Linked DNA regions of Macaca mulatta. The main gene of each other region encodes a partner of the protein of the gene in region 2 in a complex. Links are inferred from orthologs where the notes say so. Each region holds a gene or a part of one and is shown on either strand. Other genes may lie near its edges.

Region 1 (3,651 bases), on a different chromosome or scaffold from region 2:
AACAAGCTTCCAGAAGATGCTATTGAGCCAAAGACCACGCCGTAAGTGGGAGGGGCACGGAAGGATCACGAAAAATTTCAAATCAGAAGTTGGTCCTGGCTGTTACTTTACAGTTAAAATGTTACTCATTTCGGACCCTTGGTGTCCTTATCTATCGAACAGGAAATTACTTATTCTTCCTATTCCTGGGGTTATTGTTAGATCATAAGAAAAAAAGGGACATTAAAATGGTATGAATTTAAAGCAAGCTTTCTCACCTCAGCGCTACGGATTATTGTGAGGTGGACTGTTCTCTGTTATGGGATGCTGTCCTGTGCCCACCTCAGCCTCTATTTACTACACGCTAGCAGCACTGCACCCACCCCCCAGTTGTGACAACCAGAAGTCTCCAGACACTGCCAATGTCCCCTGGAGGGCAAAATTGCCCACGGTTGAGAAACAATGGTTTAAAGTGAAGATTTAAATTATTTATTCTGGATTAAAAAAAAAAAATCAAAGCATGCTCAAGGCTATACAAATAGAGACAGTATCACACAGGGATGATTTCCAATAGGTGGATGTCAAATGGATTTCACAGACCCACAATGAGTCTACAGAGTCAAGGGTTACGATCATGAAAGGCAATCACCATTTTTTTTCTTTCCCAAGTGCTCCTCTATATTTATAGCACATACCTATGTAGTGATGTGTATTATAATTACTTGTGTGCTTAATTCTCTCCACTACCAGGCTATGAGCCTTTTGTGGGATGGGCACTTAACTCATTCAGCTGTATCCTCTAGAATAATGGCTCCCAGATTTTGATTTAAACATAATCCCTGGGATACCTAGCACAATGCCTAAAATGAAACTGGCTCTTAAGAAATGGCTCATCAAATTCAAGCCAGTAAAATATGAAAAATTTACATGTAATTTTTACCTGGTAGTCTCGGAGACCGACCAATATAATGTCCGAGGTATTTATCCAAACCTACAAAAGAAAAGTCACTGCCCGTCATATTTCAAATAACGAAGAATCAAGAAATTCCAGAGTAACAATCAATTAGTTTAGAAATTAAAAGATTTTAGGCCGGGAGCGGTGGCTCACGCCTATAATCCCAGGATTCTGGGAGGCCAAGGTGGGCGGATCACCTGAGGTCAGGAGTTCGAGACCAGCCTGGCCAACATGGCAAAAACCCATCTCTATTAAAAACTACAAAAATTAGCTGGGCGTGGTGGCAGGCACCTGTAATCCCAGCTACTCGGGAGGCTGAGGCTGGAGAATCGCTTGAACCCGGGAGACGGAGGTTGCAGTGAGCCAAGACTGCACCACTGCATTCCAGCCTGGGCAACACAGTGAGACTCCGTTTCAAAAAAATAAACTTCTTTAAAAGAAAAAAAAAAAAAAAAGAAATTAAAAGATTTTAGTTTGGGCTGGCTCACACCTATAATCCCAGCACCTTGGGAGGCTGAATCTGGCAGATCACTTGAGGTCAGGAGTTCAAGACCAGCCTGGCCAAAATGGTAAAACCTTGTCTTTACTAAAAATACAAAAATTAGCCAGGCGTGGTGGTGCATGCCTATAATCCCAGCTACTCAGGAGGCTGAGGCCAGAGAAACACTTGAACCTGGGAGGCGGAGGTTGCACTGAGCCAAGATTACGCCACTGTACTTCAGTCTGGATGACAGAGCGAGACTCTGTCTCAAAAAAAAAAAAAAAAAAAAAAAAAAAGAAAGACCCCCATATCAAATTTAAAAAAATACAAAATCAGAGTTGGGACTTTTAGTCAACCTGATTAATAAATCTGCCTGAATAACTACTGTGATGGTGAATTAATCATTACTTTCCAAGGCAGTCCATTCACGATGACATTCAGGAAATGCAACATTAATACAATGCTTATGTAATATAACTCATATTCAAATTTTCTTAATGTACATTTCACAGCTATATGTCCAATTCCTAAACCAGAATCCAAACAAGGGCCACCTACTACATTTAACTGTCAGGTCTCTTTAAGTCTCCTTGAAACTAGAATAGTGCCCCAACTTTTTTTTTTTAAACTTTCATGACAGTAACATTTCATTAAGAGCTGGGCCATCTGGCTAGGTACAGTGGCTCATGCCTATAATCCCAGCATTTTGGGAGGCCAAGGCGGGCTGACTGCTTGAGCTCAGGAGTTCGAAACCAGCCTAAGCAACATGGAGAAACCCCATCTCTACAAAAAATACAGAAATTCGCCAGGCATGGTGGCACAGGCCTGTAGTCCCTGCTACATGGGAGGCTGAAGTGGGAGGATCACTTGAACCAAGGAGGGTGAAGCTACAGTGAGCCCAGATCATGCCACTACACTACAGGCTGGGTGATAAAGTAAGACCCTGTGTCAAAAAAAAAAAAAAGACAAGGAGAAAAAAAGCTAGGCCTTTTGTTTCTGCAGAATGTCTCTCAATTTGGACTTTTTGGGCAGGAATACAACGTAAGTGATACAAATGATTCTTTAACATTAGAATCTGTATAAAATTACCATTACAGACCTTGTTATTTGCCTTATAGGTAAATCACTGTTTACCTAGGTAAGTCTTTTGGGAATTTCCAAAAATGAAGTCCATGGACAGTTAAAAACTGTTAGAGGGATTTTCCCCCTTAACCAATTTTATATTAAAGTAAAACAAATCACACCTACCTTTTTTCTCAATTTTCCTCTGATGTGACATAACCTCTTTACACCATCAAAACACATTGCTTCTAGCCGTCCATTTCCCAACATTTTGATTACCTGAGCATACTCTAGCGGGGAGAAAGGAAAAGGGTATGGAATATTGTTCAACTTTTGATAACAGCAACTTCAAGTCCACATAAAACTGTCAAGAGAATAAAGTTGCACCAGTTGGGAATAAATACATATATTAAAAATATAAACAAACATAAGGGAGTGATAAATATCAAGTTAGTTAATGGCAGAGCTAGAACCAAGACTCTATAATGCCATTTCTTTCTTTCTTCTTTTTCCTGAGCTCAGGTCAAGTGTAGAAACCTTCACAGTTACAAAGGTCAGTAGTAAAACCTTTACATCATTGCCCAGAAATGATTAGGCTTTCATGGACATACATACGCACCCCCTCACCCTCAATCTCATTCATTCCTACAACTGCTACCTTTATAAACACATGTGGGTGCACACACACACACCAGACATATGCCCTTATTGTTTTACATTGTTTTCTAGTTTTGCTTCTCAGAACTGTAGAGATCATGCATCAGGTAGACTAGAAAACCTTCTGAAGTTCAGATTTGGCTAGTTTCATCACTGATCCACTTCAGTAAAAGCAGATCTCAGAGAATGTAATGCATTTCTATAACATACGGTCTCTGCTATTAGACATGTTTTAATTATCAACTCATTCTGAATAAGTAGATTAACTACCCCACTTTTAGCTCTCCTTTACCTCAGTACCTTTAGGAGCAATTCTCATATAATTTTTAGTTCATTTAGCAAACAAAAACAAACTTCAAACAATGTCTTTTTTGAATTAGAATATGACTAACCCCCAGAGAGGATGTCCATTAATTTGTAAATATACTGAGACTTCACTTTGAAAGGCTCAGTAGTGGGGTTGACTTGTGGAAGTGAATTACTCAGACTACAGTGAGCCCAGCACCCACCTACCACC
Region 2 (3,651 bases):
AAATCTTACTTCCCCATGGGCAATTTTAACCTTTGGTGAAAAAACTTTGAAAACTCTGATCAAAGGTTTTAATGTACCAAATATTTTCCTATTTTAAAACAACCAGGAATATAATGAAGATGTGTAGTTACCGTTCAGAATAAAATCTTCTATCATTTGATAGAAGATCATACAACTGCTGAATATGAGCAAGACCTGGTAAAAAGATCAATACTGCTCCTTCAATATTTCTGAACTGGGGACTTTTATCTGAAATTTTAAAAAGATACAATATTCAAAATAAGAAGATAAAAGGAACAGCATATAAAATATTAACAAAACATCTCAAGATAGTAGAAATGTTTTATCAAATAAAATGGAGACCCATTAGAAATAGAAATATACCTAAGTAGGCAAGAAGTTCCAAAATGAGATCCAGGTTGATTTTATGAGGATTCATGTATAGAATAGCATGCTGAGTGCGGCTGCTGTACTTCTGGTAAAATGGATTTAAATCAGCATTTGCTCCAGTCTGAACTGGGATGTATTCCTAAAAGAAATCCAACCAGAGGGAGCTGAATAAAAATATTAAGTATTTTTGTAAGACAAAGAAGGAAAAAAGGCGGTATTTGCATTCATCAAATCTATATTTTTCTCATTGTCACCATTACTATTTTGTTAAGATACAGAAAGAATATACTTAGTAGTGGCGAGAATATCAGAAAGTATCATCTCTCTCCTATAATTTAATGTCATCCAGCCCTTAGGTATAGCAAAACCTTTTTATCTTGGCATATACATACTAAAATAATTGTAGAAAAGCATATTGTAATCATGTATGCATCATTCTGTGGCAACTAAAAAGCAGCCAGGCCAAGAGAGGTCATAACTTTAATAAGTAGTTTGTACCTGGCTCATTCCTTCTACATTGTACTTTGGCTCCTGAATTCCAGTCATCTCTTTTGAAATAATTATACTTTTCTAAAGTCTTTCTTTAGTTAGTAATTTTTACCTCTGGTGTTTTAGGGGAAGATTTTACTTTTTGCTTTCTTGGTCTATCTGCTTAATAAAAATATAAAGATAACTTTAACTCTGTGTTTTCATCAAATTGGAAACATGCATGAAATATCATGGATATGACAAAAATGCTGGATCTAGTACCACTGGCTAAAATGCAGGATAACATTGTTTTTTTGATATTTGAACTTCCCAGAAAGAACTATGCCCTACACAGCTTCAGTATGTATGTATGTATGTACGTATGTATGTATGTATGTATCTATCTATCTATCTATCTATCTATCTATCTATCTATCTATCTGTCACTATCTACCTATCACCATCTTGCCTCTGCCCTGCTCCTGCCAGGACAGAGGCTAAGAAAACCAATGGCAAGGATCTAGATTTGAGACCTGCCCTATCCTGATCACCTATGGTGTTGAGATGAAGTAGAGAAAAATCACTACTATGTACTCCTCAATAACTGATCACTGTTACAAAATTGTTGTAAGAAGTTGCTTCTAACTTGTATGGTCCTTGATTTTGTATGTGTACCTAGACGGCCCAGAATAGTTTAAGAGGACAATCAAAGTATCACAAATCAAAGATTACAGTCTATGAAATAAAGATTAAAGAAACGACCTTTAAAATTCGTTCATTCTCAGATCTATTCCTCATCTATCAAATTATACTCAAATTCACTGTGTTAACCATATGATTTTGAAACTCTTGTGGCAGGTTAGGCCCTGGATATCATTATCTGATATCTTTCAAAATATTTTCTTTTTACCTGATATTTTTTTATTCCCCCTGCTTTGCTTGTAACATTAATGGTTACTTCTTCTTCCTCTTCCAGAAACTTCTGACAATATTCTGAGTCTTTCTCCAGTACAAAACCTGTTTCTTCTATTATATCTTCAAGATGAAAAACCTGCATAGAATAAGGTATATAAATGGGTGAATTCAAATTCATTTCAGTAAATATCATTTTAAAGAGAAAAAGGGGACACCACCTTTTGAATGTCACCAAACGCTAATTTAGAATATTATGAAAAAAATGTTTAGTATTATTTGGGAATGAAGACTTGGTTGACAAAGAGGGATTGTCTCTAAAGCCTCAAGACAAATTACATTATGAGATATATTTATATATATACATATAATGTGAAACAGTTAAGAGTAGATTATATTAGCTGAACTGAAAAGGTAAGAATCAAGAATTGAATATGTAAAAAGGAAGCTTCAAAGACAACCCTAAATTTGAGGGGTGGGTGAAAAAGGAGTTCCTTATTGCCAGGTAGCCACTCTTTTTTTTTTTTCTCCCTGACCATTAGATGACCAGGGAAGGGCGGCAACTCTTAATCTGAATATAATGATTTTCATGTGAAAATAGTTTTATGTTCTTTAGCCCTTAGGGCTGTCTTGAGTCAACACCCTCCTTTCTCTCCTATCCAGCCTCAGGCAAGGCAGTAACAGCCATCTGATTCTTAAGGCTGTGTCCCGCTCCTCTGTCGACTCACTGAACCTAGGAATAGTTCTGGCCTCAGACTACAAGCACCCATCTCCTAGGGAAAGAACCTGTTGGTAATGCAGTTTCTGCTTATACACACATTATAAAGAAAACTTACCTCAACAGGATAACTTCTTCCTGAAATTCTGAGAATAGGGCAGTGTGTGAAATACGTAGAAAATTTTTCGCTGTCCACAGTGGCACTCATTAGAATCAAGTGTAGATCAGAACGTTTCTGTAAAATTTCCTTCAAGATAATTAGTAGGAAGTCTGACTGGACACTTCTTTCATGAACCTAGTTTTAAAAAGGGAATAAAAAAATTCATCATATATTGTATAAATTCTAGTAAGAAGCTTGAACAATCAGACACCCAGATTTACTAAAAGTTATTCAATATCTAAGTACAGTCAGTACATGTGCAGGGAGGGAGAAGCTGTATGTTTTAAATAAGGCAGATCTTCAGAACTGAAAATAAAGTCATTCTCTAAAATTGAAGTCACTGAAAATCATATAATGAACTAGATTAGCCATGACAGCATGACTCTACCCTAGGAGATGGTTCGCAAATCAGATCAGATGTAGCTGATAAGGCCGGGTACAACTCTAAGTTTGAGGGATGCGTGAAAAAGGAGTACCTTATTGCCAGTAGCTCATACTTGAGCACTCTGGGAGGCCGACACGGGCGGATCACCTGAGGTCGGGAGTTTGAGACCACCCTGGCCAACATGGTGAAACCCTGTCTCTACTAAAAATACAAGTATTAGCCAGGTACGGTGGTGTGTACCTGTAATCCCAGCTACCTGGGAGGCTGAGGCAGGAGAATCTTGAACCCAGGAGGCAGAGGTTGCAGTGAGTCAAGCTCATACCACTGCACTCCAGCCTGGGCGACAGAGTGAGACTCTGTCTCAAAGAAGAAAGAAAAGATGTAGGGTATATCCCAAATTTCACTTAGAAGCAAGAGTGACTGCTAAATCTCTGCCACTAATATAAAACTATACTGTCACCATTACAAGACAGATGGTTTATCTACTAGGTAGAAAAAGAGGCATTAACTAGCAGGAATCCAAGAGAATCTCTATCACTGTCAGAAAAAAGGGTTTTATGCTCTTCCAACACATGCATTTTAGGGAAGAGCATGGATGAGGTATACTGTCAGAACTTT
Region 3 (4,377 bases), on a different chromosome or scaffold from region 2:
AATATAAAGGATCGATTGAAGAATTTGAATAAAAACGTTAACACTGCAAATAGAATAAAATATATATACCTGGCTACCGCAAAGCCAGACATCTAACTTCTTGAATCCACCCACTACCTCTGGGGCAGTCTCACATTGTTCTGTGCTACTATAAAAGAAATCTGGGCTTCCACAACTTCGTGATTTATCCAGATTCTGATGCCTTCTTAGGGTATGCCAAAACTAAATTTCTACAAAGGAAAACACATTCTATATTTCGAGCCATTAATCGTGACTGAACTTAGCTGCGTCAGGACAAAGATCATACCTGCTTTGCTTACTGGGTTTTATAAAAGTTTGGCAGCTTTTCAAATGACTAAATCATGATTAGTTACACATTTGCAAAAGAATGGCAACTTTTAAATTGCATACAGCAATCTCAAAGGTGGGAGCATCTTACTCTAGCTCTTCACAAGTAGGCCAAAGGATGCCCTTTTCCTGATGTGAGGATGGGTTTCTGAGATTTCTGCAAAAAACCAGCTGCATGAGTGCAAAGAAAAAGTAATTCCACATATGGCCCATGCTCATTTACATGTTTATTTGGATAAACCTCACCACGACAATATTGACAGACATCTGGATTTTCAAATGAAAACAAAAACAAAAATACACAAAAAGCCAAATGAGCAAGTTTTACTTCTATATTAGTAAGTCTCATCTCATAAAACGTAGGGGTCTTCAAAAATATCCTTCAACTAAGTATCCCAGAGGATAACACTGATTTTACACAATAATAAAAACATTCAATTCAGGATGGTAAGTAAATCTTAAAAATAAATTTGGGAGAGGTAACAGAGGACTTTAACGAATCTGTGTTGTAATTCCTAGAGGTATGGATTTCCTGGAGTTCACTGTATTACTATACTTTTTTTTTTTTTTTTTTTTTGAGACGGAGTCTTCCTCAGTCGCCAGGCTGGAGTGCAGTGGCGCTCCGCTCACTGCAAGCTCCGCCTCCCGGGTTCACACCATTCTCCTGCCTCAGCCTCTGGAGTAGCTGGGACTACTAGTAGCCACCACCACGCCAGGCTAATTTTTTTGTATTTTTAGTAGAGACGGGGTTTCACTGTTAGCCAGGATGGTCTGGAGCTCCTGACCTCGTGATCCACCCGCCTCGGCCTCTCAAAGTGCTGGGATTACAGGCATGAGCCATCTCGCCCGGCCACTGTACTTCTTTTATGTGCCTCAGATATGATACAAAAATTTGTTTTCAATTTACCAGAATTAACCAAATCCTGATTATTCTCCTTCTACCGTAATACCATGTAACAGATTCCACTTTAAATTATATTTTAAAAGAATGAGGCTAGGCATGAACATATAACAATTAAAATCGTTTAATATTTTATCTTGCTTTCTTTCTATGACCAACAAATCCATACCTTCTCCTTAAACAAACCCTATGTGTTTTGGTGATACTCTTTACTGAGAACCTTCTTAAGCATCACTCAGTTTAAAAGTTCTACCCTACAAGAATAAAGGAAGCTTTACTATTTTAAGGCTAGAGTCACGTACAGGGATAGCAACATCAACAAAGATTTAATGGACATTTTGCAAAGGGAGATACTGTGATCTTTAGAATCGATAACTTAAGAGAACTGAGAATCTCATCAAGAGAAATAAAAGTGAGAACATACTTACTGAAGTTGTTCAGTACCATGTGAGAAAATGTTAGTGAAAATCATAAGCCTTTGCTAACTCTAATTAGACTTCTCCCATAATACACTTTTATCCTCGAATAATTTTGCAGTAAAACAAACAAATCTTATACAAACAACTCATTAGTGGGTTTTGGGGAGAGCAAAGAGTAATGTCCAGAAAACAGAGCCCTGTACTGTCACCAAGTACCTCGAATTGTGTGTCGTAACAGCTATAAAGAGAAAATGAAACAGACTCCTTGGTGCCAACAAGCAAGTAAAAAGAAGACAAATTGGTGTGGGTCCCAAGAAGGAATAATCTAAGCAGAGTTTTTGTGTACTAAAAATATGGTCCTCTCCTGTGGAAAATAATACATTTTGTTTCCACCTATAGTTTTCTTCAAGTAATTACAAGGGCATTAAATGTGAGCGATTACCTCAGGTCTATATAAAGGAGAATTTCTTTCAGAAACGACTGAGCAAGAGTTCTGCCGAGGTTAGACCTCCTACTTTAGAAACTGTAAGTAAACTTATTTTCAAGTCTAACCTTGGTGTGAAAGTTTAAACGCTGAATGAAGGGAAGGTTGATGTCTTTACTCCCACGATATTTGTCGGATACGGAAGTTAAAAACTTGCCTAAATATGTAACAATTCTTCTGCAAAAGAATGTTACACTCTATAAGGGGATGGGGTAGAGTAAAATGCCAGAGACGAACCTAAACATGTTTCAAGGTTTCCCCACTGTTTAATAAGGAAAAAGGAGTATCCTTAGCAATACTTTTAACTGTCCAGATACGTAAATCTTCTAAGTTAAGAACTGCTTCAAAGGAAAGTAGCAAGGCAGTTTGCAGGTGCCTACTCTGGGAAGCCAGGCCGTCCGGTTAGGGTCCCTCAACCCTCCGCTACCTACACGCCTTCCGTCTGGCGTGAAACAGTAGCAAAAGCCCGCTACCTTCCGAAGCAGGCCCAACAAAAATGGCGTCTCTCCCACCCAATGTGACCAAATCGGGCATTCCCAACTCCTTTCCCCAACAGAGTGCAGGGTGCGCGGTGCCCAGTTCCGCCGGAAGAACAGTTACTGCGGCCTGGAACAGACGTCGGGGTTACTGGCAGAGCAAGCCGAGGTATAGTCCCAGACGCTTACAGCAGTACCTTTATTTTTGGGCATAGCGGTGAAGACAGCCTCGTGGGACCTCTTCCGACTCCTTTCTGGCGGTTACTACTTCTCTAAGAGCAGGCTGACCTAAGATGCCTCAGGTGGGTGCGCACAACAGACTGGCCACGGAACTCTCTGCTAAACTGCGGACGCACACTTTCTGGCGTCAGCAATAGGCGACGCACCTAATTGCGATACTTTTCCGCGCCTCTCTTCGCCTGAGGCGTGGCCAAATGACTGACACCTAGTAGACCCCATTGGAATACCGGAGAGTTTGGTGCCGGATGAATAAACAGGTAGCGGGGCGGAACTCAAGGTGGAGAAAGTGGAGTCAAGGATGGAACGGGGCGGTTACCTGGTGTCCGCCGCTTTGCTAAAAAAACGTTTTCCAGTTTCACAAGTTAGTGGGTCGTTTAAACACCTAAATTTTAAGAGAGCCGTTACTCTTACACAGTAATATTGGAGGACTGACTTAGGACAAGACCCTCTATGTTCAGAATGCTTCCTTCCTCCCTCTCTCGCTTCCTCCCTCCCTCCCTATTTACCTTCTTTCCTTCCTTCCCTCCCTCCTTCGGAGTTTCGCTCTTGTTGCCCAGGCTGGAGTGCAGTGGAGCGAACTGCCCGGGTAATTTTTGTATTTTTGGTAGATACAGGGCTTCACCATGTTGGCCAGGGTGGTCTCAAACCCTTGGCCTTGTGATCCATCAGCCTTGGCCTGCCAAATTCTGGGATTGCAGGCGTGAGCCACCGCGCCTGGCCTTTTTTTTTTTTCAGTCTCTGTCTTCTTTACCTCAGCACCTCACCCTAAACCATGTAAGTACCAAGGCCGGGCCTGTCGCCTAAGATTGCTACCACCCAGCGGAATACTGACAAACAGTAGACGGTAAATATGTATAGGAAATGGAAGGTAAATATATATAGGAAGGGGTGAGACTAAGCATCTGAATCTTACAGTAACCAAATGTCTCAAATGGACTGCCTGTTGTGAAATTATTTCAAGATAAAATTCCATTTGATTGTGATATGCAAGCATTTGATTTACTGGATTTGTTGTGTGTGCTACTATTGTGTTTAGAATGTTGGTATCTGTGTTAAGATATATTGGCTTGTTTCTTGTGATGACTTTGGCTTTAGGATCAGTATAATCCTGGCTTCACAGAGTGAATTGTGTAGGGTCCCTTTTTCTTCTGTGTTTTTGGACACATTTGATGTAAATTCGTTAATTCTTTAAATGGTCCAAGGCCTTAGTTTTGATTATGAATTCGTATTATATTTATTCCCGAGTCAGTTCTGGTAGTTTGTATGTATCAGAAATTTGTTCATTTTTTCTAAATTATCTAACTTGTTGGGTGTATAATTGGCTATAATACACAAAGAATAGTATCTTCCTAATCCTTTTTTTTTTCCCTTTCTTTCTGCAAGGTAAATAGTTTCTATGTATCAGGAATTTGTTCATTTATTCTAAATTATCTTATTGGGCATGTAACTGGCCATGATATGCATAGTATAGTATCCTCCTAATCCTTTTCTTTCTTTCTTTTTTTCTTC

The links.
Region 1: DHX29 (region 2) and EIF1AX share a complex: the UniProt entries of both Homo sapiens proteins name them as parts of the 43S pre-initiation complex. The link is inferred for Macaca mulatta from reciprocal best matches to the Homo sapiens genes DHX29 and EIF1AX.
Region 3: DHX29 (region 2) and EIF1AY share a complex: the UniProt entries of both Homo sapiens proteins name them as parts of the 43S pre-initiation complex. The link is inferred for Macaca mulatta from reciprocal best matches to the Homo sapiens genes DHX29 and EIF1AY.

What each region holds. Positions count from the first base shown.
Region 1 is NC_133426.1:19,866,453-19,870,103, forward strand, and holds part of EIF1AX (eukaryotic translation initiation factor 1A, X-chromosomal), read right to left. Parts: intron 3,294-3,651; exon of another isoform or gene 3,214-3,293; intron 3,061-3,213; exon of another isoform or gene 2,991-3,060; intron 2,768-2,990; coding exon 2,664-2,767; intron 971-2,663; coding exon 920-970; intron 1-919. UniProt on the Homo sapiens protein: Component of the 43S pre-initiation complex (43S PIC), which binds to the mRNA cap-proximal region, scans mRNA 5'-untranslated region, and locates the initiation codon. This protein enhances formation of the cap-proximal complex.
Region 2 is NC_133411.1:63,063,749-63,067,399, forward strand, and holds part of DHX29 (ATP-dependent RNA helicase DHX29), read right to left. Parts: intron 2,784-3,651; coding exon 2,607-2,783; intron 1,910-2,606; coding exon 1,769-1,909; intron 530-1,768; coding exon 385-529; intron 250-384; coding exon 132-249; intron 1-131. UniProt on the Homo sapiens protein: ATP-binding RNA helicase involved in translation initiation. Part of the 43S pre-initiation complex that is required for efficient initiation on mRNAs of higher eukaryotes with structured 5'-UTRs by promoting efficient NTPase-dependent 48S complex formation.
Region 3 is NC_133427.1:8,120,868-8,125,244, reverse strand, and holds the start of EIF1AY (eukaryotic translation initiation factor 1A, Y-chromosomal), read right to left. Parts: upstream 2,858-4,377; 5' UTR 2,842-2,857; coding exon 2,826-2,841; intron 1-2,825. UniProt on the Homo sapiens protein: Component of the 43S pre-initiation complex (43S PIC), which binds to the mRNA cap-proximal region, scans mRNA 5'-untranslated region, and locates the initiation codon. This protein enhances formation of the cap-proximal complex.